Lonchura striata: one gene and its partners. The main gene of each other region encodes a partner of the protein of the gene in region 2 in a complex. Links are inferred from orthologs where the notes say so. Each region holds a gene or a part of one and is shown on either strand. Other genes may lie near its edges. The genes, in order: SPTLC1, SPTSSA, SPTLC2 and SPTLC3.

Region 1 (6,971 bases), on a different chromosome or scaffold from region 2:
ACAGTGATCCCAGGACAGATTCCTGAGGGACCTAATTTGTCACTGATGTCCATTGGGATTCAGAGACAATGGCTGCTACCCTTTGGGTGAGACTGTTCAACCACTTTCTTATCTACCTACCATCACACCTAATTCTCTCAAATTTAGAGAGAAGGATATTGAGGGGGACCATGTTAAAGTCCTTATACAAGTCCAGATAAATTACCCCAGTAGCCCTTCCCTTGTCCACCACTGGAGTCACTCCATCACAGAAGGCTACTAGGTTGGTCAGGCAGGACTCGCCCTTGGTGAAGCCATGCTGGCTGTCTCAATAAATATCTGCTGAAGTGCTCTCTAGAACACTCTAAGCTTGTTTAATAAGTGCTCCCCAAATGAGGACACTGCCTGCAGTTTTGCTCACTATTATAGACTTGTGCCTACAGTCCTTGCATCCTGTTCATTGATGAATTACACTTAGCACGCATCCTTAATGTGCATCATTAATGAGAATAAGATCAAAAAGCATGTACACACATGACATAGATGAAAATTACATATACCCATTACAAATACCCATAAATCTCTTTCACAGACTTTCTTTAGTACCAGGAAGAAATTTCATTATTTTATCCTATTTATAAGGGGTTCACTATTCTGAAGCTCATATAAACTACTCCAGGGACATCCTCAAAACACACTTTACTCATTTGTGATAGTCTACAGCCAGAAGTCAGGAAGAAACTCCAGTCTTCATAAGTACAGCTTTTTTTATTTTCTCAGAATGACACTGCAAAAGTAGAAAACTGCTGCTAAACACAAACAATTTTTGTGGAATTCACTGTAAACTCTCATGAGTTATAACTCATAGACACCACACATACAGCTTGAGCATTTTTCTACTATCTACAATCTTACATTTAATTTTGCTTGGTGGGCGTTTTTCACATAGCTCTTCCATTTTTAAAATAAAGCCCTCCATTCAGCAGAGCTAATGACAGCTTTTCATAGCTTAACAGTCACTATCATATCAGTTTTCTTATTTCTCAGACTCTCAAACACAGTGCTACTTTAAAAGCACAAACTGACATATTTAAACTCCTGAGTCCAAAGTAAGCTCACCCTTGGAAGGAAAAGAAAAACCAGCAGAACCATGTATAATGCAACAGCGGTTCAACACCCAGTACATCAATCTAAACTGTTTCTCTAAAGAGAAATAATTTTTCCTCATACCTTAAGTGTTAGATCAGATCGCTCTTGAAGCTTGTATGTCTTGGAGAAAAGAAGTCTGATTATCCATAGTATTAGAATTCCTTCTAAAATGAGATGGTAAGCTGGAGCCTGAAAACAAAAGTAGAAAAATTAGTCTAGAGAGAATTCTATTTCAAGCAGTGTGACACAACATTTTGTCCCTACTAGCACACCCAGAAAAAAACCCAAAGCTGATCATCAGCTGATATATTTCTAAATCAGTAAAAATTTTAACTATATGAAACGGGAACGTTTTGCAGCTATTACTTGTAGCTATTAACTTAAGTTTGAATGGATTTAGTCTGTTGTTCATGCACATAATTTGAATACCAAGAGTAAAGGCAGTTAAGTCATAAAACAGGTTGCACCAGTCAGCACCCATGAAGGCAGGCAGCCTTCAAAACAAGCAGAAGTATCCTGAGACCCTGAAAGTCTGTGTCATCCATACAAAGCCACTTCAACTCTCCATCTTTGTAACCTACAGTCCACAGCCGGGACAGCCAGTATTTACAAGGAAAGACAATTCTATTCTTAGAGTCAGCTTCTGTCAGTTTAACAGGCACTTTGATCAGGTATAAAACAACTGAGTCAGCTCAACTAGTTTTGTCCTTTTGTCTCTTACTCTCTTGTGTGGACACAAAGTGTGTGAATACACAAAGCAAACCAGAGTTGATGCAAGTTAAAGTAATCTTCTTTGGGTGCTTGGGGGACAAAAATCAGTTTGCTCTGGCAGTGCAGCTGATTTGAAGTAGATGTGGAGTTACTGGATACCTAGTATTAATGATAAGTTTCGTTATTCCATTTCAGAAAGGCTCCTGTCTATATTTTTAAGACTAGAAGTGCACACAAACCAGCATACCCCCTCTTCAAGTCAGGGGAATTGCTCCCACCCATCAATAGTTTTGGTGGTATCTGACCTGCCAACAAGGCAGAACTTACCATACATCCAGAAAATAAAGTAAATTGGATGCAAGCTTTTAAAACGAGTAAAGAGTCCTACGGCATATCAAACTTCAAATAACAAATGTTACCTGTTGCAGAGTACCTGCGTACCAAACATATTAAGATTACATACACAACACATATGACACGACATGTAAAGAACACACAGTATACTGCCACTGAGGTCTCTGTGCTTTTCAGTGCCTACAATTCTCCTGGGTTCAGTGCACTAGAGCGATGCTACCTGCTTCGTTAGCTAAGCACTTCTATATTTGGACTGCAAATCTTGCATACATTCTTTAGACCCTTTGCTAAAGGAAGGGACACAAAAACAAGGCCTATCATCAGGACATCCTTTTCAACATCACGGAACAAAGCCTGGGTACAAACACGCACAGCTGATGTCCTCCAGGAGGGAACTCAAGCCCAAACATTTAAACGCCGTTTCTTCCTTCGCAAACGACATCTGTAATTTACAAACCCTTACCCCAGTAAAATCCTGTGAACCTTAAGGCTTAATGCTCTCCTGCACGCCTTAAATGTCATTTTATAAACCCGGAGAAATAAGACGCGCGCGTATATTTTCAATGCACAGCCATGGCGCACTCACACATCCTCACCATTCAGCGAGCGCAGCCCGACCCCGCAGCACCCGGCTCCCGATCCACCACCCAGCACCACCCACCGGGGGCAGCTCCGGCGACACCTGCCCGCTCCCCAAGCCGCCCTGCCCGGCCGCACCTCGTAGAAGGCCTGCACCATCTCCACCAGCACCCACTGCTGCCCCACGCCCGCCATGGCCGCCATGGCCGCGCGCCGCTTCCGCCCCTCCGCCCGCGCGCCGGGGCGGGCCCCGCGCGGCGCGGCGCAGAGCGCCCCCTTGCGGCCCGCGCGGCCCTCACGGAGCCCTGCGGGCGGGCTCCGGGCGCGGCGCTCCCGCCCGCGGCGCCCGGCGGCGAGCGTGAGCGGGGAGCGAGGGGAAGATCGGGGAAACACTGACTCCCACAGTCGGTCACACGGACTGGGACCGCGGCTGACCATCCGGTCCAACCTCCCTGTTCAAGCTGGGCCATCCCATGGCGTGGCGCTGTCTCCAGACTGTTTTTGGATCTGTCCAATGAGGCAGGCTTCGTAACTTCTTTGTGCAACCTGTTCCATTGTGCAGTCACCTGCACAGTAAAGTTTTCATGTCCAGGTGGAACTTCGTGTGCTTCAGTTTCCACCCGTTGCCTCTTGTCCTACTGCTCAGCACCTCTGAGAACAGCCTGACTCCATTCTTTTGTGCTGCTCTTTAAACACATACATAGATGCACCCTTCAGTGTTGGCTAAACAAAATTAGCTACAAATTGAACTTGCCGAAGAAGATAAACGTGGATGTACTAATATGTTTCCTCACCACATTTCAAACCTGGTGCTGTTTGTTGAACTTGATGGAGTTAGCTTGGTGTTGCTTCCTCCACACACACAGGCTTGCTCAGCCCCACGCTGCCCTAGGTGCAATGGGGCAAGGGGCAGATCCTGTGCTTGTGTGCCTCAATATTACACTTAACACCTCTGTATTATCTGTAACTAGTGAATTCATTGCTGCAAGGAACAATTGCTCAGACACTTGGCTAATGAAAAGAGCAGCAAAAACAAAACCTGAATATAGTGGAAATAACGGGTAAGTTCAAATAAGAGCAGAAATTGCTACATTAAGAGTCTTGCCAAAGTGAGTGGCCCTAAAAGCCAAAGATTGTTGGGAGAGATAAATGACAGGAAGAAAAGTAGTACTTTTGAACTCTCCCCACACCCAGGTGTTGGGAGATGGGTCAGTCACTGTGCATAGCTGTGCAGGACCTGAGCAACTATCTAAAAGTCAGTGGAGAAGAGGAGCAACTGGAAAGAAGACTGCTTGGGAAGTGAGGTAGTTGTTAAAGATGATGTTTGAGAATGGTTTCCCTGGAGCTACACAACTGCGGAGTGCTTCTGATGGTCTTCTTGGACAACACAACAGAGGCACACCCTTGGGTTTTCACTCACTAGTCTTCACTGTGGTTGGGTGAGAGAAACCTGGGGCAACAGTTGAAGAAACAGTTGATAGCAAAAACCTTGTAGCTGTTGCTAACTACAGACAAAGAGTAGCTTACGATTTTACAGTAGTGGATAGTAAAAATCAGTGAACTTCACTTTCATGCTACTTGAAATGCATAATAGTTAATCTCCCTGAGTTTCTGAACTTAATTATATACTTGTAAAATTCCAATCTCTGCACAATAAAGAGAAATATGTGGTTTGAGGCTATCTGAAAAGTCAAGAGAGACAATAAATATGTCTTGGCTTTTAGTTGCATGAAAATCTTGTCTTCACTGTTAAGTACTTCTGTGGCCAATGTGTCATGCTGGAGTCTTGGACTCTTGGGAGATGGCTGCTATACCAGCCTCAAAAAATGTGTCTGGTATGCAGTCCCAAATTGCCCCCAGTAGCATGGGCCACATGAGTTGTCTTGGTGGGCAGCAGATTGAGTCATATCTCTGCTCTCATCAGATTCTGACTTTCAATATTTGACATATATATGTACCATTTGAAGACTAAAAAACTGATTTTGTGAAACACCAGATGAATTGTTTCCAGCATGAAATGCAGTGAAGTTATTAACATGCTAAGCAGTAATTCTTCTGGCAGTGGATTCAGAGTTCCTGGTCTGGATTATCATAGTGCTGGGTCTCTCATAATAATGAGCCTGTCCCTATTGCTCAGCAGTTTCATTGTTTCAACACAGGGCAACGGCTGCTAATTGCTTTAGGCTGCTTTACTTCTGACAGTAATAAAGTGAGGGAGGTAAAGGGATAAGTCCTTCGCAATGACAGTTTATGACTGGAAAGAAAGGGGAGAGAAAAAATATCTCCAAAATTAAAGACCTGATGAAAGCTATTGAGATAGTTCCCTATAAGAATTTCTGGTCTGTATGTTTCAAATTCTGTATTCCCTCCATATTCTCCATTTGCACAGTATTTCTAAAGTACTCTTATTTTGGATCTCCCTCACCAACTGACTCATTTCTCACACACTGCTTTGAATCCCCAGTTCTCCTGGGTCAACACTAGAATTCCAGCTATCTGCTGTAGTTCTCTGATCACTCTAGAAAGTGAAAAATAGGATTAAGTATGGCTAAGAATTTTATTTTTTTCCTATCACAGATGTACCCAGTGCCAGTTATTTTTCTGTTATTTTCCTCTTTGCTCTATTAGCTTTTCCTCTGGCTTCTTAATTTTTGCTTTATCAAGTATGAGATAGTCAGACCTTCTATTGACCTGGTATCAACTGAGAAGGGGAGAATGGCATGGGGAAGTGGCACATAACTGTGAAGGGATGGTGGTACTTGCTGTCATCTTAGTTGTATTGCTGTCTTGGAGGTATGTGTCTAGTGGGCAGAGACATGTGGGAACTGGTGGGAAAAGTTCCTGAGGGTCATTTACTTCTTCCCTGCCTTCTCCAACCATAAACACGGAAGGGGGGTGATGGTGTTGGAGAATAGAGACATAAGGGAGTGTTTGCAGCTATTCTCACACATTCTAGGTGATGAAAGCTTTGTTTAGATTATTGTGGTTTTAGTGTGCCTAGTTGTAACATGTTGGCTTTGTGACTACCCTGAAAAAAATATTTTAAAAAAAGTATTGGGAAAGCAATCCCAAAATGGCAAGGGGAATAGCAGGATAATGCTAGTTAGTCTTTTTTAGTCTTTGAAACTTGATGCTCCACTGAGATGATGCTGGCAGCAAGCACAGAAAAATTTCAAAGTCAGTTGAAAGCTGTCTGTTAAGCCAGAAATTGTGTCTCAACTCCTAATGGAAAGCCCAAAAATGTTGCAAGAGTACTCTGCAAGTGCCAAGAAGAACTGGAATATCAGGTTCTGTCATTTGCCTAATATGTGGAGGAGCACAATTGTGCACAAGGCAAGCAGAGGACAGGATAAACTTTGTGTTATCTAAATCTGTGCACCATTGCATCTCGGAAATGTGCTTAATCCAATTTCTACAGTGAATTAGCTCTGAATTAATTATTAAATTAGAAATCAGAAATCTGTCTCAGGTCTGCATGGGAAACATCTGGAGATCTCAACCTTTGACACAAGATTTGTGAAAGAGTAAGAGCACCTAGTGGTCAAAGAACTGGTGCATTCTAGCTATTCTTAAATCTTCCATGCCACCTTGAACAACTGTAGTGACTAAGTGGCATAAAGTGGAACTGCTGTAATATTTTCCTGGCATACCATAAAGACCAAACTTAACCTCAATTCTTTGGACTTAACAATTACTGGAACTATGTAGGAAACTTAAAGTATTTTCAGCCAAAGGTGGACCTTTGGAATGAAAAGCTCACTTGTCAGAGGTGGATATAGGCATAGCAGTCTGCCTGTCTACACCTCTTCTCAATGCTTGTTCCCCATGTGGGCTTGGCTGCACTGGACTAAGCATGAAATTTCCAGTACATGGCTGAGCTAGCCATCTTAAAATGGAATTGGCACCAGGTAGGCCTAGTTATGTGATAACTAAAGAAAACTTGTATTAGGAACTTGTAAGAGCTGTGGGGACCACTGTCAGAACATAACATTATTTAAATGAGAATGCTTGCTTTGCAGAGAACCAGTTACCATGTGTGGTGTTGCAATATTTCTGTTGCAGAGTTAGGTTTTGTATCCTGTGTGGTTAGAGCTCACATATCTCTCATTCAAAACTTCAGACATATTCAGAATGGAGATTAACAGCCCAGAACTTCCACCTGGGTTGGTTGCTCCTGCTGCAGAATAAAGTACATGTGT
Region 2 (7,719 bases):
TTCGGTAAACTTAGCCTGAAACACTGTAAAACACACTGGAGATTAACAAGCATGATAAGGCCAGGCAGCAGCACTCTGCTTCCACAGGTGAAACCAGAGGAGCTGCGCGCTCTGCTCTCCTGAGATCAAGGCTGCACAGCACAGGCGTAACAAGCGCTCCATGGCCGACTCGCCCACGGCACAGCAGAGCTATGAGGTGTGCCTGTTAGAGCTGCTCGGTGTATTTACAGTCCCAGAGGATTATACAGTAAGAGATACTAAAATGAAGGTCAACTCATAAATCCACGTTTCCACATCAATGCTCACTTCTGGTACTGGAGCACAGCCACGCACCATTAGTTCCCAAGGCCACTGTGTCCGCAGTGCATCCATACAGCACCTGGCAGGCATGACCCACCAACAGCCAAAGCATCCAGTTTGAGGACAAAAAACGTTTTTGCTGATCTGAGATCAGAAGCGATGCTTGCTCTTTACATTTGTATGTTATGTGGCAATTACAATATGAACATTTTATGCAAGTAAATGTGCACACGCTTTCATTTACTTAAATATTTTGCACAAGGTAAAAAGGAAAAAAAATACACGTGATATGTAATTGCAAGGAAAACAAAAATTAGGCTTCCTCAGTGATACAGGCATAGCATAAAAGGAAGAAGTTATGTTAACATGGAATACAACGTAAGAACCCCTACACAAAAAACTGTGCAAAGTAAGTCTATAAAACTTACTACTTCTTTTTTCCATTAATCTTCATTTCTACTGAGTAGACACAGGAAAAAAAAATGACTGATCACAACACTGTAACTTGGACAACCACTTTTACATAACAAATGTGAGTTTCTTTACAAAACTAAGAAGAATCTCAGTAAAAGCAGCTTCTTGCTACTGCTCGTACCCTTCTCAATGTTTTAATTAATTTCTCTCTCTACCACTAAGCATTAACTGGACATGGCTCAGGGGCACTCATATTGAGAGATCATTTTAAGTCAAGATCAAAAAGTCAGAAAAAAATACTTGTGATGTAACAGCAATACTTAAAAAAAAATGCACTGCCTGTACAAAAGGGCAAGATAAAGAAGCAAACCTATAAACAGTCTTTATAGAGACGCCTTTACATGAGCATCTGTCAAGTTCTTCCACTCTAGAACAGCCAAGAAAACTCACCAGCTCGAGGATTAAATACCCATGTAACAAAAGCCATATGACAAAGCTGCATGAAAGTCTAGGTTTGCAAGGTTTTGCAGCGTGCATATTTACTTTCCTCTAGGCAAAATACAAAAAAAAAAAAAAAATCATAAAAGACGGGATTTCAATGCAAAAGACAGAACCATCATAACTTCAAAGCTACAAACTTATGCCGGAGAAGAAAACGGACTAGGCTGCCAGACGCCCGACACAGCATGCGAAACAGCACAGCGGGGTTTATTCCCAGCCCGGGCAGGATGTTAGTTTGGAAGGGTGAGGAGCCGAGTCCCCGCCAGCAAGGAGGGGTCAAGCCTGGCTCCCAGGCGGAGACTGCCGCTGCCCCGGCCGCGCTCAGCGCCTGAGGCCGGCTGCCCCCGCCCCGCCCGACTCTCCTGTGCCCAGCGAGCCCCGCCGGCGGCGGCGTTCTCAGCACGACCACGGCCGAGAGCTCCCCGAGCACGGCGCAGGGCCGGCCGAGCCGCCACACCCGCCCGGCGGCCTCGGGCAGCGCCGGAGCCGCCGCCGGACACAGCGCGACAGGGAGCGGGCAGCCCGGGCCGCGCTCACAGCCCGGCCGCGCTCACAGCCCGGGCCGCGCTCACACCCCGGCCGCGCTCACAGCCCGGGCCGCGCTCACAGCCCCGGGCCGCGCTCACAGCCCGGGCCACGCTCACCCCCCGGCCGCGCTCGCAGCCCCGGGCCGCGCTCGCACCCCCGGGCCGCGCTCGCACCCCCGGCCGCGCTCGCACCCCCGGGCCGCGCTCACCCCCCGGCCGCGCTCACAGCCCGGCCGCGCTCACAGCCCGGGCCGCGCTCACAGCCCGGGCCGCGCTCACCCCCCGGCCGCGCTCACCCCCCGGCCGCGCTCACAGCCCGGCCGCGCTCACACCCCCGGCCGCGCTCACAGCCCCGGGCCGCGCTCACAGCCCGGCCGCGCTCACACCCCGGCCGCGCTCACACCCCCGGGCCGCGCTCACAGCCCCGGCCGCGCTCACAGCCCCGGGCCGCGCTCACCGCCCGGCCGCGCTCACACCCCGGCCGCGCTCACAGCCCCGGGCCGCGCTCACACCCCCGGGCCGCGCTCACCCCCCGGCCGCGCTCACAGCCCCGGGCCGCGCTCACAGCCCCGGGCCGCGCTCACCCCCCGGCCGCGCTCACCCCCCGGCCGCGCTCACAGCCCGGGCCGCGCTCACAGCCCCGGCCGCGCTCACAGCCCGGGCCGCGCTCACAGCCCGGCCGCGCTCACAGCCCGGCCGCGCTCACACCCCGGCCGCGCTCACAGCCCGGGCCGCGCTCACAGCCCGGGCCGCGCTCACAGCCCGGGCCGCGCTCACCCCCCGGCCGCGCTCACCCCCCGGCCGCGCTCACCCCCCGGCCGCGCTCACACCCCCGGGCCGCGCTCACCCCCCGGCCGCGCTCACAGCCCCGGGCCGCGCTCACAGCCCCGGGCCGCGCTCACAGCCCGGGCCGCGCTCACCCCCCGGCCGCGCTCACCCCCCGGCCGCGCTCACAGCCCGGGCCGCGCTCACCCCCCGGCCGCGCTCACCCCCCGGCCGCGCTCACAGCCCGGGCCGCGCTCACCCCCCGGCCGCGCTCACCCCCCGGCCGCGCTCACAGCCCGGGCCGCGCTCACACCCCCGCCCGCCAGGCCCCGCGGCAGAAGGATACTGAAGACGGTGCGCTCCCAGGGCTCCAGCATGTAGAGCGCGGTGACCAGCAGGTACTGGTAGTACAGCCACGACATCTGCTTCCACGCCGAGCCCAGCGCCATGGCGCTCCCCGCCCGCCAGCGGCCCCGCGCCGGGCCAGGCCGAGCGGAGACGGGGGCGGTGCAGCCGGGCCCGCCCTCCCCCGGCCCCGCCCTGCGCCCGGGCGGCCGCCGGCGAGGAGGTACCGGGGAGGCTCCGCGGCCGCCGGCGAGGAGGCACCGGGGAGGCTCCGCGGCCGCCGGCGAGGAGGCACCGGGGAGGCTCCGCGGCCGCCGGCGAGGAGGCACCGGGGAGGCTCCGCGGCCGCCGGCGAGGGGGCGCCGCGGGCCGTGGAGCTGGCTCGGGGCGCTGCCGCCGCTCCCGGAGCGGGGCAGAGCGGCGGCGATGCGCACCGCTTCCCCGGTTCTCCCGCTGAACGCCGACATCGGGCCCAGTCTGATTAAAATACGCGGCTGACTCTGAAGCTGGTAACCTCCCGGCCCGAGTCACACCGAGGAGATGGTGCTGCATCTGCTTTCTCTCGGCCTCTTTGATCTGAATTGACCTTGCTGGAATCACGGAAGAGCCAAAGCCTGTGTTTGGCAGGGCCTAAGGGAGACATGTTAAAAATTATCTGCACGAGTCTTCAACTTGGTTCAGTTGTCGGAGGGCAAAGCCTACCCAAAAACGTAGCTCAGATAAATGCGACCTTAAGATAGGCCAGCTTTGGCCAGATTAATCCATATGTATAGGAAAAACAAAGTGATGAATCAGCTGTTTACTGTGACTGTCCTAACGTTGCACAACCCTAAGGCACTCAGAGCCACAAACCAGAGATTCCCAGAGGCCGGTTTGGGACTTCGTGATTAGGAAGGCCCTGGGCAGTTTATGCTGGCAAAACCCGCTGGAAGGGGATGTGCACAATCGTCAGGCACCTTAAATGAGCAGAGTGTGTGTTGCAACTTCCAGGCCCTGTGTCCAGGCCACTAGTCCAGACCACACATTCCAAGTGTGCACAGCATAGATTAGAAACTGGAATTGACCCACTATACTTACTCTGCTTAGTCAATCAATTTGCAGTTATGTCACTTAGCAATATGATTTTGTCCTTGTCGCTGTTCCACCTCTACCTTATCCTGTGCTATTTATACAATGAAAACTTAAGGAAGTACAACCACAGGAGCATTAATGTTTGAGTTACTTATACAGCTGCAAAATGCAACTACAGGACCAGGAGGTAATTGTGAAAAAGAAAAGCAGCTGGCAACAAAAACATAAGACTGTATTATTTTGTGTGGCCGGAATTTGAAATGGGATTTGATTCATCCTGAAGACATTTAGACACACCTTATCTATGCAGATTTATTTGAACACAAGGAGAAATGAGAGCATTCACATGGTTAATATCCTGACATAACTGCCTGTGGGAGCTGTTGCCACTATCCAAGTTTGCTGTTGCTTGTTGCAGTCACTGCTGGAGGAGTCTTGTGTTGATGTTGCTTGAGTAAACAGTGGTAATCATGAAAGGTGCATTTCTGTATAAACATGTCCAAAGTTCAAGGACAAGTAGGGTATTCAGCACAATGAAAGCATTTCCCATTCAAAGCTGCAAGAATGGTATCAACATGGAGCAAAGGCATCCATCCAGTGCTCTCTGTTCCTGTAATTCCTAACAAAATGCTCTGCAATTCAAGTGGTAAGGCAGGCAAAATGCAACAGCAATAAAGGACCTGGGATGAGAGGAAAGGTAATGCTTAGAGGCATGACAGCTTCACAATCTCATACATCTGCCCTAAGTCATCAGATAATTATCCCCTTACATTTTTTGGTATGGTGCATACTCATGAGAGTTTTTTTGCTAGTTAGCCCCTTATGGAAATGGACATTATTCCTCTGTACAGTTTCCCTTCCTTCACCAGCTCCATTCTGCCCCTGCTTAGGGACTGTCACACGTAATTGTTTTTCCTGATACCACCTGCATCGACATTTGAGGCCTTGAACTACATTCTCACGTGCTCATGTTTCCAGTAGGTCAGTGCAAACATCCTTAATCTGACACTACAGAGAGCCTTTCTGTTTCATCTGGAATGTAAATAGAAGTAAATCAAGGCCAGCATGCTCTAGAGCACAGACCATATTCTCTATTACATGTATTTCTCCACACTTCTACCAAGAAACAGTTCTTCATACATTCAAAATTTATTGTGAACACCTCATAAGAATTTATCCCACTTCACATGATCCCACATCTATCTGATACTGCAAGTTAGATACTTCAATATTAAGTCTGAATGTAGGTAGTAGCAAAGATGAGATTGAGATCTTGTCTCATGCATACATACCCCAAGCCTCAGAACCAGCAGAGCTCCATTTTGTTTGTAGGTTGCATATGCAGAGGACGCACATCATACTGACCAACCACATGTTCAGCAGCTGCATCAACAGTTCTCTACTTCATCAAGCAGAGGTTCAGTTTCTGCTGATTTGAAAATAGTAATTCCATGCTTTTCTTATGTAATCCTGACAGAAGAACCAGCATGTTTATTTCTTCCTAATCTCATGTAACAGCATAGAATGTGTATGTAGATCAGTCAAATACCACACCAGGGACTACAAACGGTAACCAAAGAGTTACGAGATTTTATTATAATCTAAGGCACAAAAGATGTTATTCAGGTTTCTACCTCCAAAGTTCAAATATTTCTGACAATTCCTTAAAGCACATATAGCTAGTTATTCCTAGTACTATTATGAGAAAAAACATAAAGATTTTTTTTTCCAGACAGACCCTTGTTCAAGGTACAGTTAAAAAATATCAGGCTATAAAAGATGTTACAAATAAAAAGCAAGAGTTTGCCTCTAGAACACACACCTGAATGAACACAGGGAAGGATCCAGAATTAACAATACAGTGGCTTCACAGACATAAATACCAAGTACAGAAGCTCTTTGTGCTCCCATAAAGAATAAAAATGTACTAAAGAAACAGAAAAAGCAAAGTGGTTCTATGGTAATAGATCTGACTATAAATTTCTTCTTAAAATGTATCATCATAAGGAAAAATGACAATAAAGTCCAGTACTTTCTTCTACTATGTATATGTAAATATACATATTTACATGTACAACATTTAGCTGTATTACTAGGCATGTTGATTTACATGATCAGTGGTAGAACAGTCCATGCCAGCAAATCAATGTAAGCTCATCTTCCACTCTGTATAAAGTAAAGTTTCAAAATTCAAGAAGTTTCCAAAAATCCAAGTATCATGACAATTCCTTCTTTATCAGTGTCCTGGTTTTGGCTGGGATGGAGTTCATATTCTTGTCAGTAACTTGGATTTAGTCTGAGAATAATGTTCTCACTAATACCATGATCTTTTGGTTGTTGCTACATTAACTACTAAGGCCCTGGGCAAAAGTTAACCTCTAGATGAACATTCCAGCCAAATGTTATGTATATATTCAGTCATTAATAAAGTATTGTTACATGTATTCATTTATTTGCAAACCTTTCCATATATAGAAACATGGGAAGGCCTTACTAGGGGGACATAAGATCAAAGACAACACTTGGTTCCTCGTGGAGCCTTGGTCAGGCTTTAGGGAAAAAGCAATAGAAGAGTGAAATTAGAAATTATGTCCGTTTGTTTGTTTAACAGTATAAAATCTGGGTTACTTTCACAGCAAAATCAGGGAAGCCTGGAGGCCTGCAAGGTGGACAGGCATGATTCTCCAGTCCTTTGCTGTGACAGCCTCCCCCTCACAGTTGATGTTTTGAGGACCTGGATGATGGTGAAGTATGAGGGTAACTAGTGATGTATCTGTCTTAATCACTGTAGGCATTCTCCTGTAGTAATGATGAGGTGCATTGCTTACCTTACCCTTTTGTAATTCTTTGCTAAGGATTATGTGCATTGCATAGCCTATCCTTTTGTGATTCTTTGCAGCTTTGCATTATAGTAAATTACATTGTTCCTTAAGTTGGTGTCTGTGTCTGTCTCTCTGACCCTGCTCACTGGCAAAACACTCTAAGAGGTATTTAGTAGGGTAAGTCAAGGACTTTTCAGTGTCTCATGCTCTGCTAGTGAGGAGCACCACTAAAAAAGGGGAGGGAGCCTGGCCAGGACAAGTGACCAAATTGGCCAAAGGGATATTCCATACCCTAAAATATCATGCCTGGTATATAAACTGGGGGAGTTACCTGGAAAGCAGATGGTTACTGTTCACAGACAAGCTGGCTCTCGGTCAGCAGGTGGTGAGCAGTTGTGTTGTAGTGGTGGGTTGACCCTGGCTGCACACCAGGCACCTACCAAAGCAGTTCTATCTCTCCCCTCTGCAAATGGACAGGGGAAACACACACAAAGGTCCATGAGTTAAGTATTGTGAGAGCTCACTCACTGAATACCATCATGGGTAAATCACATTGAACTTGGGGATAATGACTGAATTCATTATTAACAAAATCAGAGCAGGATAATGAGAAGTACAGTAAATCTGACTTTCCCTTAACTCTCCCTGCTTCTTGGGCTCTACTCCCTCCCCCACCAGAAGTGCACTAACTTCCCTAATGTGAGTCCATCCCAGATGCAACACTTCTTCCCAAACTGTTCCTTTGTGGGTCATTTTTCCAGTGCAGTCCTCCAGGCTGTCTGCTCCAACATGGGCCTGCCAAGGAGTGTGGGCTCCTCTTGCCGTGGGTTTGCAGGTCCAAATTCTCCTCCCCACTGGGGGAGAGGGTGGGGGGGAGTGAGCAAGCAGTTGTGTGGCCTAGTTGCCAGCTGGGTTAATACCGTTAACACAAACCACATCTGCAAATCTACCAAGAACAACAGCCTAATGACATC
Region 3 (7,867 bases), about 3.7 Mb from region 2:
TTTCTCTCTTTCTCCTATCTATGTTCAACTTCTCATGTCATGACAATACCCTTTGACATGTCAGGCTTTTATCTTACATACTGCAGTATTACACCAGAATTCTAGATAAATTTTAAGCCCTTCCATAAATTACTATTCTTTCTAACCATTAACTCCCTTAACTGTATACAGTCAGAAAAAAAGTCACTTTTCTCCAACATTCCATTGGTACTTCAGCCTCTTTTAATAAAGGTGTTCATAATGAGACTGAAATTCAGTGAATGTAACAATCTCTAAACAGATTAACTTCAAGCAGGAGCCAAGTAATTTGAACGCAAGATACCTCAGGAAAGCCAAGAGCTGTATTTATCTCAGTATTTCAGCAGAATGTTTTTGCTATGCTCGATCCCTAGCTTCAAATGGCCACTTTCCCAATCACTGATAATATTTTATTAATCTCCAAGGTAGTCAAGGGTCTGTTACTGCACAGTTTTAGTAGGCAGCAAGTTTCCCCTCTCCTCTTACCAAAGAGGTTTAGCAGTTCAGAAGGAGACAAATACAACCTCTTAAAAAATTAAGTAAACAATTTCACCCTCTTCTGTGCATCCTGGAGCAACAGTAAAGAACCCACTCTATATGTCAAATACCACCCTCAGTGGAGGGAGTACCATAAGGAAACATTTGAATTTAAGCTTTATTTTTTTAGGATAAAACCCTACAAAACCACATAAACTAACAAATCAAGAATTAAAAAAAACCCAAACTTACATAGATAGTCTGAGCAGAAATGTCCTAGGTAGAAGAGGACTCCTTTTTTTTCACATAGTTAAAAGTGGGTAAAGCTTTTCTGCACTATCAAGCACTACTGGGGGACATGGTAATGCACTACCCTGTCTCTAAGCTCTCCCCTCAGAAGCTCCATGCTTTTCCAGGTAAACTGTCAATGACTGCAACATTTATTTAAACTGATGGTTTTCCTTTCCCCTTCACTTCCCATCATTTCAGCTAGATCTCATGTTCTCATTTTACCTCTTATTTCTCACACAAAACCTGTGAAAGGCCTTGTTGAAAAAGTTCTTTTCCGCATCCTCACTTTTCTGTTTGTTTTTTTCCTACTAAGTAACAATCACATTCTTTTGTGCAAGTTGCCTCCTTTTTGGTACTTGCTTACAGTTGCAGATTCTCAAGTGCTGTATGTGGTAAGTACATAGCATATACATACACAGCAAATATATACAACACAATGTGCGCATTCACGTTTCCTTTCTTCTATAGAAAGGTTCAAAAAACAAAACTGAAAAGGCAAAATACCAATCAATTAACCAAATCTGTGATATATCAGCAAACACATCTTTTGGCAGCTTACCACCACAGATGCTATCTGAGAAAGCTGGACATAATTAGTTCTCCTAAATAATTGCTTCTTCCAGTCCAGTTGTAACATTCAGACCCTTACTTTGAAAGTTAACATAAAGTTAGCCCACATAAAATTGAAAAAATTTAATACTCCTAATTATAAATCAAGCAGCTGCCAGAAAGATACCAAACTTTCCTACACTCTTAAATCTCACACTGCTGCTATACTTTGGATTTTTGGTAAGACTTCTCATGACCATTTCTCCAGTGAACCCTGACCCACTTCAGAAATAGTTATCTCAAATGCCTCAGGTCCCCAAAACATATCTGAGCATAGTATCATATGCAAGCTACTAAGTGAATAGAACATCGCATAAATCAGCAAGGTTTTTAAAGTTTCCTCAGTTTGATATGCATGGTTTTTCTCATTCACACACTACATCACCCATGTTCTCCAGCTACACAGGTAAACAAAGCCCTTGAGGAAATGCTTCCTGACCCCACCTTCTGTTCCTCTGAAGTGGAAGAATATAACTGTATTCAGACATTCTTCTTTAGAAAGCATAGGGTGGGGAAAAACTCTCACAGAAGAACACTCTCCAGCACCATACTTTATCTTATTACCAAGATTTACATGTAAGGTTTTATAGCTAGCAGTGCTTGCTGTTTGCAAGGCAAGACTACCAAAGCCACAGCTCCCCAAACAAGTACAAACTGACCCTGCTGCCAAATGAATGTACTGTACCTCCCTCCATTTGTTCACTTCCAATATTGTGCTGTATCTCCCAAGGGCCAGGGAAAGACTACGAGCATCTATCCAGTCAAAGAAATAGAATAAGTATCCTCAGTTAAAGATAACCCAGGGGGGAAAAAAGTTTCGTTTTACCCTGCATCAGTTCTCAATCTAGTCCACACAGTGAGTCCACAACCTACGCTGAAAAAATAGAAGGGAGAGCAGAGGACTGAAAAACAGAAGCAGCAGGAGAGATGAGAACAGAGGAAGGCTTTTATCAAGCAGCTTGAAGTGTTCAAGGAAACACAACCTATTGCCTTCTGCTGAGGCTGACTTCATAACAACCTTTAAGTTCTTTACACTATAACACAAACCTTGAGTGTTTTGCATAGAAACAGCTGGAGTCCGCAAGCACAAATACCCACTTGCATCCCAGCGTTAATACAGGCAGATGGGAAGCGCTGCACCAAGCTCCAACTCTGCTCTAGAGGAAGTCCGTGCTCAGGGCTCCTCGTACCCACAGCCCCGCGCGTCCGCCTGGAACAGCGAAACGGTGGCGAAGAACTGCTGAACCTTTTCTGCTAAAGCCCAGACCCACTGAGCTACAGCGAGGTTTAAGTTCAAAAGCCTCGCAGTAAAGTTACAGCCGTGACTCGAGGGACAGTCATTGCCCACGCCGCCACCAGTGCGGTGAGCGAGCACCGCCCCGGGCGCTGCCCGCCCGCCCCGGGCGAGAGCCGACGACACAAACCATCGGGTTCTGCCGACACCCCTCACGGCCCCGCCTCGGTGCCTCCCGGGGCCCCGCCGCCCGCCGCCGCGCCCCCGTCGCCCGCGCACACCTGTGTGCCGGGCGGGCCGCGCACGAAGCCGTTGCGGAGCGCGCCGTGGGCGCCGCCGCAGCCGTTGGCGCGGGGCCGCTCGGGCCGCTCCATCGCGCCGGCCCCGCCGCGCCCGCTCCGCCGCCCCCGCCCGGCCGGGCCGCTCCGCACCGGAAGCGCGCCGCGCGCTCCCCCAATCGCCGGCGCGGGCGTCACGCGAGGGGACGGGCCCCGCCTGGGCGCGCCGGCGCGCGTGCGAGGCGGGCGGCCGGCGCCCAATGGGAGCCCGCGCCGCGCCCGGGTGGGAGGGGAGCAAGGGCAAGGGAGGGGCTCCCCCAATGGCGAAGGGAAACGCCCGTGGAGAGGCGGAGACAGAGGGTGAGCATTGCCCAATCACTTGGCAGGGACGGGACGGGGCGCGAAGGGGACGGGAATAGCTAGCCAATCACAGAGCGAGGCTGAGGGAGGGGCGCGAGCGAGGGGCAGCGTCCGTCCAATGGCGGAGAGAGGAGTGGGGCGCGGCTGAGGCGGCAGCCAATGGGCGGGCGCGGGTGCGGGCAGGGAAGGGGCGCGGGGCTGCTGGGGCGGGCGAGGTCAGTGGGCAGCGGGGCGCTGCCCCGGTCTCCTCGTACCGCTCCGGGGGGACCGGAGCGCCCATCAGCGCGTTCCTGCCCGTGGTGGGGAGGAGGCCGGAGCCAGCGCGGCGCAGGTTGCTGCTGCTGCTGCTGCTGCTGCTGCCGCCGCCGCCGTCACCACCGTCACCACCCCCGCCGGGAAACCGGCAGCCCTGCGGCACGCTGGTGGCTGGAGCGGGGAGCGGGCCGGGGTGGGTAAGGCAGCGGGCAGCCCCTCGCTGGTTCCTGTTGAGGGAGCTGATGAATGAAGCGGTCCTCCGAGACCTGGAGGGCTGTCCCAGGACGCCTTGGGCTGTGCCCTAATGAAATCATCCGGGTGAGAGCTCCGAAAAGCGTTTAGGGGATCAGGCGTAGTTACTGTACTGCCTTCGCCACGGCTCGGGAGAGATGTATCCTGGCTGGAGTCCACCAGGACACCGAAGGCCCTTGCAGGGCAGCCTGCAGGCCAGCCTCGGGCAGAGCTCAATTCCGGTAGGATTTACACTTACAGGGCTGAAGCCTGGCGTGAGCCTGGCCGCCCTGCTGAGCTGTATCGCGCCCGGCAGCTGGAGCTGCCCGGCTGTTCGCTCTGCCCACGGCTCTGCTTAAAAACCGTACTAGGTATGTGTTCAAACGTGTTTTCTGACAGGATTTGAAGATATGTGCTTCGTTCAAAGACCAGGTAAACTAAATGCTAAACTAAATAAGTATATTTAGTTCGGGAGTGGGAGTTACCAGCCTCAATGCAGTTTGAGTGACCAAGCGTCAGGCAGACACGGGCAGAAGGAAGCCACAAAGTGTCTGCATTTGTGCACTATTAAACACCTGTATGCATCCTGGTGAGGGAGTAGGGAGCGATTCCCGAACTGCAGGAGTGTTAATTGGCAGAAAGTAAACAGCCTGACACATTTAATCACACTGAAAAGATGGACGAGTGTGACCTTTGATTTCTCCAGTGTCATTTACAGGGAAGGGCTGTGGTTTCTCTTTGCACTTAGCAACAAGGGAAAAACCAAAATGAAGAGTTATCAGATTCAAGCATACAAACTCAAGAGAATGGTCTCATCCTTTTCTCTGTGATTTGCTACTGTTGATAGTTACTTTTATGTATTATAGTCACATCTTGGAGCCTTTGTCATGGATCGTATTGCAAATTTGGTATGAACATGCAGTGCCTAGCAAGTGAATTAGCTTCTGTGAAAGACAGTCTTTTTTCTTCCCTCAGGAAGACAGGAAAGCTTCACAGCTTGATTTCAGCCTATTTGTAGGCAGCAGTGCATGTCCAGTCTGCTTCATGTCTCCATGTCCCCTTTGGAGGACAAAGAGGGTGAGGGTACAAACACAGCCTCAGCAGTAACAAGTGCAGGGTGGCTTTTGACCTTGTTCCTTTTCTTGCTGTGGCCACTCCCATATGTGGACTACCGCTGAAGCAGGTATACATTTGCCTCAGCAGTAAGCTTTCTTCACCTGGTTTTGACGTGCAGCGAGAGAGAGCCACCAGCTAAGATGGGCTGGGCCATGTCCCATCTCCTGTCTTGCAGGCTGGGACCATGGAGAAGACTGGTGTTATTAGGAAGGACCTTGGGATCAAAGCAGCAAACACCCCTGCTTAGCACTTGAGAACTTGTGCAAGTGGACTTGCTTTGCTGTAGGTGCAGTGAGGAGCACTGGTGGGAAAGAGGCACATGTGATTTCTTTCTGGATGAGCAGGGTAGGGCTTTTGCAGAGTTGAAGTAATCTATGAGGGAGCTAATAAATATAGTGAAAAAAATGAACAAGAAAGAAAAATGTATTAGGGGATCACATACTGTAGACTTCCTGAAGTATTTTTCCCCTGTTGCCATAGTTAACTATAAGCATTTTCCTCCTGCCTCCTCTCCCTTTGAACAGAACAGATTGAATTACACTGACTAGTTTTTGCCATGGGGTGCAGATTGTCCATCAGTCTACACTGACAAGGCATGTGTAGGGCAGCACCCTCCACTTCCTGCCTGCCCACCTGCAGAGGAATGAGTTTCACCTGCTAATGCTTTACTTCTAGAGAGGATAAGCTGCTTCACCTGCCAGGCACAGAATCTCACTGCTGTGTTCTCTATTAAAGCACAAACCCTTTTCACGTGTAGGTACCTAGAGACTGGTCACTTCATCTGTCCTTGAACCCAACTAACATGAACCCTTACAATGTGATTTTTTCAGTTTTGGTTTAGGAAATGTAAATAGCATTAAAGGACCTAATGGTTAGCTCATGCAGGACTGTACAATCTTATACAGCAGCTGCAGTGCTCCCCTGCACAGAGGGACCTCACCCTGCCCTGAGCATGGGGCCAGCATCACCTGGTGTTTTAGGGGCATCTGGTCCCTTCCAGCACAGTGCAGGGGACATGGGAGGCCATGCTCACACTGGGGCTTCAGTGACAGAAGAGCCCAGGATATCCATGGAAACAAGTCACAGCATAAGGATGCCATCCCAGGGCACAGCTACTGCCATAGGCAGCATCAAACAAATCCCACAGAGCTGCTGCAATCACACCTGCAGGCAACTCTGATATGGCTTTGTGCAGTGCACAAGGCACCGGTGTACACAGGTGGCTGCAGCTTGTGCCTCTGGACTAGGCAGTTGCAAAATAGGGAAACCAAAAGAAATCTAAAGAGCAAATTCCAGTTTTCAATTACATTTTAAGTCTCAAGGATACTATTCCAGTGAACTGGCACTCCAGTGAACTGGCAGAGCAAACTGCCTTACTCTGCCAACTGAACAATATCGCCCAGCATGGGTGTCAAACAAGGCAGAGATCCTGATCATAGTTTACAACCATGGGGCTGTTTTTGCTGTAGAGAGGGGGGACAAATGAGTCATTACTTGCCTCATAGAAGCCTCATCGTTATTTGAGGTCAAATTCCTGATGTGTTCATGTTTGAGTTTGAGATGGAGGCATTAGGAATGAATGCACCAGGGAGCCCTGAACGTAGGACATGGATCAGAGAAGTGAGTTGTGAACTTTGAAGATGGAAGAAGGGCAAGTTCCGGAAGGAACTTGGGCAGCAGACTTGAAAGTTTGTGAGCTCTGAGAGAGATCCCACTCAGAGCAAGATTACTGGTCACAGCCTACTGCAGTCCTGGAGAGCTCTAAGGGTCTCACTTAGGACTCCCCTTTGTAGGGTCACAGGAGAGCTGGCTTTAACCACAGTAATTTTCAATCCTGCCTGCAATTCCAGTTGTTTTTGCTATCAAGCTTGCAAAGAAAAGATACACTTGGGTTGTTATTCAGGCAAGAGAATTAAGTTTCCAAGGCTGCTTGTTTAAATGCAGGAGCTGATTAGACTGCATGAATTTCTGGGAGCAGACAGTGTTTCTGATAAGCTCAAGAAGAGCTGAGCCCAGGTGCTGTCCATCAAGACTGAGGCCTGACAAGCATTTCTTACATTGCAGTGCATCCAGAGGTGGAGAGGAAGGGAGCACACACCACCAGACCTTTTTTCAGACCTTTCCAAAGAGCCATTTTTCTCTAGGCTTTAGTCAGAGCTGACTACCAAGGTTGTCCTAGCTTTATTTGGATCCTCCTGTGCTTTACCTGCTTTTTGTTATGTTCCCTGTCCCCAAGACTTCTGTACAAAACAGTACTTAGAAGCTGTCATAGCTGTTCCCATCCCACCCTTGTCAGTTCAATTTTCTGGATATTTGGCCCTCCTTTGGGCAGTGACTTGTGCAATATTGTGGAATGGAGATGGCTGTTTCTCTGCAATGGACTAGACTCTATCTTATAGCCAACTTAAGACCAGCAGTAACATCCATCCACTTTCACTGCATTTCACCAAGCTGTGGAAAAATGACTGGGGGTAATATCAGAGGAAACTGAAAGGTTATATTCACAGCCTAATAGAGGTTATAGCAGTACAGCAATTATGAGTAAAACACAGTTGTTGCACCTGCTAAGGGGGATGGAGCAGAGGGTGGAGTGGAGACACCTCATTTGGGCTCTGTTGAAATCCTTGCAGGGAGGGGAGCTTGACAGCAGTTTGCAGCTGAGAAACTGCATAAAACCTGTCAGCTGAGGTAGGCAGAAGATGTCCTGCTGCTGAGCCAACAGCTGTGGTGAAATCATTCTCTTTGGATGAATTTGGTTCATTATAGCCTAATAGTAACATTAACACAGACCTCCACCCCAAAGTTACCTGCCCCCAAGGTACAACCACCTCTCATTGGGCATGTGCTCTGTATTTTTGACTGTATGTTTAAAAATAAAGTGAGAGAATTTTACACCAATTGGTAACAAAGGTGTTGTATGACTGCAGTCACCAAAGCTCCACCTAAATGTAGAAAAGTAGTATAAAAGTAAGTGGAGAATGAGGGAGAAGTTAGGGAA
Region 4 (7,979 bases), on a different chromosome or scaffold from region 2:
ATATAGGAAAACTTGGATACCTACAAACCATGGATTTAAGGAAAGTAAAGCTTACTGGTTCTCCCTTTACTCCAAAATAAAGCATGGTATCTATTCTTACCTTCAGGAAAGGCATGACAGCTCTTAATGCATATCTTTGGAAGTATCAAAAGGCTCCAAAGCTGTCAGGATTTACACCCTTGTGAATTATAGAATAGCACAAACGTAATATTTAAGGATTAATTTTTTTCTTTGTCAAACAACACAGAATAAAGTTCTTAATAGTATTATTCTTTCATGTTTTTATGTTTTTAATATTTGGGGAAAAAAAACCCCAAACAAAAAACTAAATTAAAAAAAAAAAAACCTTCTTGGCAGGTAGCCTGACTTTGTATTGATCGCTTCTTGTTCTTCACATATGGTGAAATGTTATTTTTAATGCTGACTACACGCTAAATAAAGAGAGAGATTCACATAGGGTATATCCAAAATAACCCAGTGTTGGGCTTTCAGTACCCCAGAGTGGATTTGTGCCCTATTTTTGGTACTTCTTATTTCTTTAGCATAGCATTCTTTAAAACCAATAAATAAACATAAAATCTACAATCTTAAAATATAATCTAGGCAAAACCAATTCATAAAATACTGAATAGTTGATGTACAGTTGAGGCAGAATTTAAAGACTAACCACAAATTTAGGACAGTTTCCCACACATGCTCCTCTCTTCAAAGTTTTCAATAAATCTCTTACACTCTATTCCCATTCTCTCTAGCTTTATATTATTTTCCTCATATTTATTTTTTATTTCAATCAAAAGCCACTTTCTTGTTTTTTTATTTGAAAATTGAAAAAATAAATAAATTCTGTAGAATCACTTTGTAGACACATAAGAAACTACTGCATATTTCAAAGAGAACGTTTCACACTCAGTATATTGAAAAATGGAATAAAATGTACACACCAGTTCTGGAAAAAGCAAAAGATGCTTCCAAGCAAATTTTTCAAGCTGTAAGGATTTGTCTAGTACCTAGTTGATCCGATGAGCTTGTAAAAAAAAAAAAAAACCAAAAACCAAACTACAAAATAACAACCACCATAACTGGTAAGTAACATCAGTGTGATGTTCTCCAAGACCTTCTTTGCACTACTTTTGATTTCACTCTGCATACACTTTATTGTTCTTGTGCCTTTCAAGTGCACAAAACAGAACAAGGTCTACTCAAGAAAATAACACATTTGGAACAGAATTATAAAACCCTCATCCAAACTTTTTTGCAGTTCTAACAGAAAAAACAAACCAGAGGGTCAGTCCAGGAAGAAAACAAGGGAATTAACAAAAACCAGATAAATAAGAAACTCTTTCATCAGCATAGCAATAAATAGCCAAAAGAGGCAGCAATAAATAAAAACAATGATTACTGCAGGGACTTCAGCCTACACCTCTCTAAGTGTTTAACCCTTGCCCCCTCTTGTGAACTCTGTTTATCTCCTCCCCGATGTGCTTTTTCCTGTTCCTGAGGTCCCTATTTGTTTATCACCTGTCTCCAGAGCAGGTTGGCTAATTTAGATGTGACAACTATTAGTTGCCAGACAACACGTGGCACCAGCTTTTACACAAGTGTCTGTATTTACACATTTGTTCTTTCACTTCTTTGGGGGGAAGATCATAAAATCAGCATGCTGCAGACATGAAGAGAAGAAAGAACCTCAGATGATTGAAGAAACCACATCTCTTACGCTTAATTAATATCAAATTTATGAATATTAATGCAAGGAACACCTAGGCCAAGATGGAGAAGGGTGTTTTGGAGAGAAGAAACAAATGCAGCTGCTGATTAGCTTTGTAAAGGCACACAAAAAAGCTGTTACTGATGGCAAGAAAAGGTGTTTCATGTGTCCCAAAAACCATTCTTAAAGCAATGCAATACAAACCTGTTTGGCAGAACAAACCCTGAAATGCCTAGTGTGTAGCAACATGGCCACTTGCATGGTCACTATAAAAGTGCCATGAAGCCAAAGGACATAACTGTTTCACAAGTAGACTCATGGGATTAATAAAACATCACATACAGGCTTCTAAACTCAGTTCAGCTCACTTTCTAAAGAGAACAGGAAAAGCTCAGCCCTTCAGCAACCTTATTCACAAAGCAGAGCTGTCATGTTTCATGTTAAAGATATCTTATTGGCTTATGTGTCCATGAAACACCCACACAAAGGCCACAGGGGAGCAGGAGACCCTAAGTGAGCAAATAAACAGACATCCTCCAAGCTTTGGTTGCATTCAATAGCAACAAGAAAACCATTGCAGATTAAAGTGAATGGAAACACCAGGATGAAAACCTACTCAGAAATCCAGCCCCATGGAGGGGGAATTTGGCTGAATTGGCCCCTTGACAGATAGCTGAGAGAGAAAACCCTAAGTGACAGCTAGAACAAGAGGGTGTTATTAGAGTCACTGCAGATTTCCTAAATGTTTTGGGATTTTTTGCTGTGCCTGTAAGAGCTTCCAAGGTTGTAATCAAGAGCTCAATCCTTTGTTACTACACAATTTGCTTTCCTGAGTTTATATTCTTGTTTGAACTTGCCTGCTGTTGTGTAGCTCTGGCAACCTGAGGTGCATAATTTCTCCCGAGGACAACAATAAAATAAATAAAAGAAGATCCCACAAAGAATGTGCATGTGTCCCATCAAGAAAACTGAATGCTGTGAAGACTGGTGTGATGAAGATACAGGACACACACAAAAAAAAAAGGTATATTTTGACAGATACTTTTCACTGACCTGCAAGTAGGGGAAGAGATGGTTTATGACATGAGGGAATCCCACAGTGTCTCATCCTGATGTCAGTAGAACCCAGGACCAGCAATCTGTAAGCTTAGAAGCAAACAGAATATTTACATATTCTCTAGCTCTTCAGGCTGCATTGGCAGTATTCTGTGTGTCAGTTTTAAGAGCTGCCTGATCCTTAGCAGCTGCACCTGATTATGTGCCAATTAATACAAGAGCTCCCACAGTGTAAATATGAAAGGTTTCCTTTCCTCTGCTGTTAATTTTTATCTTCAACTTCAAGAAAACTGTATTGATCACCCCATACTAACAACATCATTTATTATGGTTATTAGGCTGTTATAAATCCCAGGGAACCTCAACAGATCTTACTATTTTAGGTAGGGGATTTATAAGAAACATTTGGCAAATTGTTTGGATGAACAAAATGTCCTGTCTCTAAACCATATGCCCCCAGCAGCACCAGCTACTTGTGTTTCCTTCTCCAATGTGCTACACAAAATGCCTCCCAGTCTCTCTGCTTGCCTACATGTCCATCCTAGTGCACACTAATAACCATGACTGCACTGACTGGGAACCAATTCCAGAGACAGATGGATCAGCCACAGGGAGGGAAGGCCTGGGGCTGCCTCCAGGTCACACAAAGTGACCAGAGACTCAGCCCTTGGCAGGGCAGGACAACTTATTTCCAAAACCTGGCAGCCACCTTGGCCTCCTCTGATATTCACTCCAATAAATTTCCAGGAGACACCTTCTGCACGCCCCAGCAGGTCCCTGCTCCTGCCTGTACTTGGAGCAAAACAAAACCAAAACCTTTGGCTGAGACCTTTCCAAACCTCCTGAAGAGGCTTGTGACTGGGAGGTAGCTTAGGTCAGTCTGCTGCTTTTGAAAACTCCTCTTCTGGTCTGCAGTATATTTTGTGTATTTAATGTATAAATATTCTGAGAATTAATGCTTTCTCCCTCATAGCGTTGCATAATAAAAAGAGAAATAACACCTAGGAATTGCCACTGATTTAGAGCTGTAAACTATTTCTTCTCAGCCAGCTGGCTTGTGTGTGTGATATAAGCTGCTGTGTATTTAAAAGCATAGCTTTCTCCCACGCTTGTCTCATTTTGGGTGACTTCTCTGGTGTCTCTTTGCAAAGCTCTTTTACCAGGGCAGTGATTTGCAGTTCACACAGGCCACCAGGCTGCTGCATTATGACCTTATGTTATAGATAATACAATTTAAGATGCTGATTACAGAATGGTTCTGTGAAATAGGAAGGAAATTTCTGCTGGTCTGTGAGGCTATTTTGCTTCTCTTGAAGCATAAATGAGTTTATTTTCTCACCCTCTAAAGATCAGCCATACTCTTTGCAGCAGACAGACATGATATATTTTCTGCTAATCCTATGGTTATTAATCTATCTTGTGGAGCAGCCGTGGCTCAGAACCAAAGCGAAGGAAAACAAGGTTTGAACTTAATACAGTCATGCAAGGTGTTTGTTTTTACAGGTGACACACCTATGGCTGGCTGTTTGGAAATGTGGCATTATTCAATGGAATACAGAAAACAGTCAGACTAAATGATTCAAAAATAATAACCTTTTTGCAATATGCACTATCTCTACAAGTGAAAATATTAGCATTATTAATAATAGCCTCACATTAATGCAAAGCTGTGCTGTCACCTGCCACAGAACAGCAGCTGTGTGTATGACTCCAATGGTAATTACATTACAAGGATGCCTGGAGCCTTATGCTGACATTAAGTGAAACAAGCGTGGAATTTAATGCATTTAACAAAGTAAAAAAAAAATTAAAATAATACCTGTAATTTAATATATGCATGTTCTTCACCATGGCAATTACCCACGAGTCCACAAAGAACAGACGGAGCTTGAGGGTATCAGAGAGTTTATTCAGAATTATTCCTAGGGATGATAGCACTTCATGGTTTGAAAAACAAGCTGGTTCATTACATTGCTTTCTGCTAACTGCATTTCTGCAAGATGCCCCTTTCATTTGCTCATTTGCTCAGCCAGGACTGAATGAAAAGGAGCTGAAAGGGAAAAAAGAAATTCAGAATTATTAACCTAATTTTCCAGCTTAATTTTTAGCACAAAGTAAAAACATGTAATCATCACCTCATAATAATCTGTGGACTCAGTTATTCTCACTTAGGTAGGGTTGCAGAAGTTTATGCTCCCAGAAATATATACCTGTTGGGTTCATCTGGATCTGCAGCCTTCCAGAAGTCTGTTCCAGATTTCTGAATAGACCATGCACCCTGATGTGCTGAGGGCATCCAAATGCTCCAGTTGGATCATCCTCAGTGATCAGCAAATAGATCCTTTTGTCAGCATAGGCCAAGTGTAGTTTCAGGTTACCATGTTTCTGACACACGAGATGTCTGAAATGTTGAGCTGAAGTGCAAGGTTTACAAATTTAAGATTCCAATGTCCCTTTTTTGTTTGTTTATGCCTCAAAACCCTAAGAAGTAAGGAATTTGCCTCCTTACTCTGTCATTCTCAGGTTAAGTTCTGAATTTCTTCAGGTCAAGACAGCTACTTCAGGGGCCATGCTAGTTTTTCTTTCTTTTATTGTTCAGTATGCTGAGGAGATAAGGGAATGGGTCACGAACATCATCAGAAACATCACATTTGTTTAAGCATATTTGTCACCACAATCTCATTGCTATCGGCTTTTCCTATGCAGTGGTGTAGAACTCATAAAACTGTTCTTAAATATTGACCCATTTTATTTGCCTAGTTACCAGCTTGGTTCATTTATTCTAAAATAATCAATAATAACCTGGCAAAACATTTCCTCAAGCATTTTCTAACCAGCCAGTATAAGACCAATGTTGAAAAAATTGTTTTCTTAATTACAATTCTAAATTATGCTTTGTTTATTCAGGAAAAAAAAAAACACACACAGAAAAGTATGGTCTTATCTAGCAAGTGAGATTCTAAAAGATCGTGCTTTTTGAAATTATAGCTGGAAGTTGTAATGGCACAGGACTGTTCCACTGAAATATATTTATGATGGAAAAGAAATTATTGGAATGAAAAGCTATGCTCTTTCAAAAATGTTTGGATTTCATTTAGGAAGTGAGATCAAAATATTTTGCTTCAGGATAAGTAATCTGGTATTGCAATATTTGGTTGTGAGACAGAGTCAAAATATTAGCATCATTACAGTGATAACATGCAATTCTGACAAAATCCCTCAGCCTGCAGAGAAATTTCCTACAGGTCACTGCAAGATTCAGTAACATAAGGTAGGATAAAGTGTTTCACTGTGGCTCCACAAACAGAAATTAAATTTATGTGAAAAAGTTTAAATTACTTCACTTCAGCTTAAAGACCTGAAGGGTTGTGTTTGGACATTACAATTTGAAGAGTTTCTTTGGACTTTGGTTCCAGATTTAACTTTTGTTATGTTTTATGTGAATTTATTGTCAATATTATTATTTATTTTATAATCTTCCACAGTAAAATAAATTCTAAATTTTTAGGATTTCTAGCATCTGATTATGTTTATCATAATCCAAGAAACTAAATTACCTTAAACATAAAGTAAGCCCATTTGTCTGTCCCAAACACATATTCACATGGCTTTAACAAGACTTAAGGGATGAAGGGCAATATTTTGTAATTACAGGAAAGAAAAGCCTGCCCATTGTTTTACTTCGCAAGAGTCTTCCAGTGTCTAAATAACATTGTATTCTGCAAAAGCCTAATAGCCTAGTATTTATTTCCAATTCTTGAAAGATACATGAGAGAAAGATGAATGTGTTGCTCTCCCTGCTGCTGAGGTGAGAGGGATTGTTCCGTCAGCCCTTTGAACTTCCTGTTTGGCAGGTAACAGACCCTGCTAAAAAAATAGCATGTCCAAAGTGTGAGAAATTATTACTCACTTGTAGAAAGGTTTATTAAACTGTACCAAAAATACAACAGAAGACTGAGTAGAGAAAATGTTACGGTACTGGGAGGAACAGATTTTCCATGTGCTCACCCACACAATGGAGGTTTTGCCTTTTTACCCTTTAACCCCTCCCAAAGCTCTGTCAATCGACCTCTTTGCTGTTCAGTGGTGGACATCACTTCCTCAAATCCTGATTGGAGGTCATGAAATAGAGATTTTTGGAGTTCACTTAAGTTAACTAAATGAATTAAGCATTTATATTTTAGCTTGTAGAGTTACGTGTTGAATTTTAACCTTTTACTTAAAAACCTCTGCCATGGTACAAAGGGCATAAGAAAATGCAAATTTTTGAAATTTCTTGCATAAAGAACAATGCCTAGGGATGCAAAGAACCCAGATAAAGAAGCTCCACTGTCTCCAAGCCCATCAAAACTGACAGATGTACTCAGATAAGCACCAAAGGACCAAAAGCACATGCGCAAAGGAGAAAAGTTCAAAAGTCATGAGGAAGACCACAATCTTCAGCCTCAAGAGACCACCAGAGACCCCCACAGGACCACCACGGTAAACCATGCATGCCTAGAAGGGTGTGGACCTATTTAGCATGAGAGGCGAGGACAGGCGGGGCCAGGGGTTGAATATGCATGGAAAAGTTGTGTAATGTATGGAACATGGAACACCTTTCTCAGTAAAGGTGTGGGTCAGACCGAGGCTCGGTGCACAAGTTTTTGGAGAGATATCTCACTTGTGCTGGGTGCTGACAGTACATACCCACTTCAGAACTACTCCAGCTTGTGGAGTCTATTTATTTATCCCACGTATTGCTTCAGTCAGATGTCACCACAGTGACAAGCTAACCCTCCCAATTGTCCCAACCCTGGCTGTCTCTGGACACCAATGCAAGGGGGTGAAACATAACTATAAATCTATAAAACTTTTCTTTACGTATATACATGATAATTGTGAGAGTCAATCATCGCATTACTCATCTATCACAAAAGATATGCTTGAAGCCTGTGCTTAGACTGTGTGAGAAGCTTTTATTGAGCACTATGAATACCCAGGGAAAGCAGGGGGAGGGAATAACACCGGTCACTCCAAACTGACACACCAAACAACTCAGTAAACCTGGTGCCATCACCTGGGACTCTTAGTTATTGAAATCTAGAAAAAGCCACAGCACACAAAAATCAAAAACCCTGCTGCTGTAGCATGTGACAATATGACCCAAATGCATGGAAAAGGATCTGGAGAGGGCAAGGCACCCTGAGGCATCAAGAGGGGAGGTGGTGGCCAT

What was found.
Region 1: SPTSSA (region 2) and SPTLC1 share a complex: the UniProt entries of both Homo sapiens proteins name them as parts of the serine palmitoyltransferase (SPT) complex. The link is inferred for Lonchura striata from reciprocal best matches to the Homo sapiens genes SPTSSA and SPTLC1.
Region 3: the proteins of SPTSSA (region 2) and SPTLC2 are in contact, whole or in part, in a cryo-EM structure (PDB 7K0K), measured with the Homo sapiens proteins. The link is inferred for Lonchura striata from reciprocal best matches to the Homo sapiens genes SPTSSA and SPTLC2. Residues at the interface, in NP_612145.2 of Homo sapiens: Trp15, Tyr18, Gln19, Leu21, Leu22, Val23, Thr24, Ala25, Tyr27, Met28, Leu29, Glu30, Pro31, Trp32, Glu33, Val36, Phe37; in NP_004854.1 of Homo sapiens: Leu73, Gly77, Val80, Leu81, Phe84, Leu87, Arg88, Leu91, Leu126, Arg129, Ile130, Tyr156, Met475, Pro476, Ala477, Lys478, Gly480, Ala481, Arg484, Glu485, Asp533, Leu534, Leu535, Gln536.
Region 4: SPTSSA (region 2) and SPTLC3 share a complex: the UniProt entries of both Homo sapiens proteins name them as parts of the serine palmitoyltransferase (SPT) complex. The link is inferred for Lonchura striata from reciprocal best matches to the Homo sapiens genes SPTSSA and SPTLC3.

What each region holds. Positions count from the first base shown.
Region 1 is NC_134642.1:7,226,076-7,233,046, reverse strand, and holds the start of SPTLC1 (serine palmitoyltransferase 1), read right to left. Parts: upstream 3,013-6,971; 5' UTR 2,977-3,012; coding exon 2,911-2,976; intron 1,318-2,910; coding exon 1,210-1,317; intron 1-1,209. UniProt on the Homo sapiens protein: Component of the serine palmitoyltransferase multisubunit enzyme (SPT) that catalyzes the initial and rate-limiting step in sphingolipid biosynthesis by condensing L-serine and activated acyl-CoA (most commonly palmitoyl-CoA) to form long-chain bases.
Region 2 is NC_134608.1:25,602,031-25,609,749, reverse strand, and holds the start of SPTSSA (serine palmitoyltransferase small subunit A), read right to left. Parts: upstream 3,010-7,719; 5' UTR 2,957-3,009; coding exon 2,854-2,956; intron 1-2,853. UniProt on the Homo sapiens protein: Component of the serine palmitoyltransferase multisubunit enzyme (SPT) that catalyzes the initial and rate-limiting step in sphingolipid biosynthesis by condensing L-serine and activated acyl-CoA (most commonly palmitoyl-CoA) to form long-chain bases.
Region 3 is NC_134608.1:21,927,447-21,935,313, reverse strand, and holds the start of SPTLC2 (serine palmitoyltransferase 2), read right to left. Parts: upstream 3,007-7,867; 5' UTR 3,004-3,006; coding exon 2,911-3,003; intron 1-2,910. UniProt on the Homo sapiens protein: Component of the serine palmitoyltransferase multisubunit enzyme (SPT) that catalyzes the initial and rate-limiting step in sphingolipid biosynthesis by condensing L-serine and activated acyl-CoA (most commonly palmitoyl-CoA) to form long-chain bases.
Region 4 is NC_134605.1:4,828,116-4,836,094, forward strand, and holds the start of SPTLC3 (serine palmitoyltransferase 3), read right to left. Parts: upstream 3,014-7,979; 5' UTR 2,762-3,013; intron 1-2,761. UniProt on the Homo sapiens protein: Component of the serine palmitoyltransferase multisubunit enzyme (SPT) that catalyzes the initial and rate-limiting step in sphingolipid biosynthesis by condensing L-serine and activated acyl-CoA (most commonly palmitoyl-CoA) to form long-chain bases.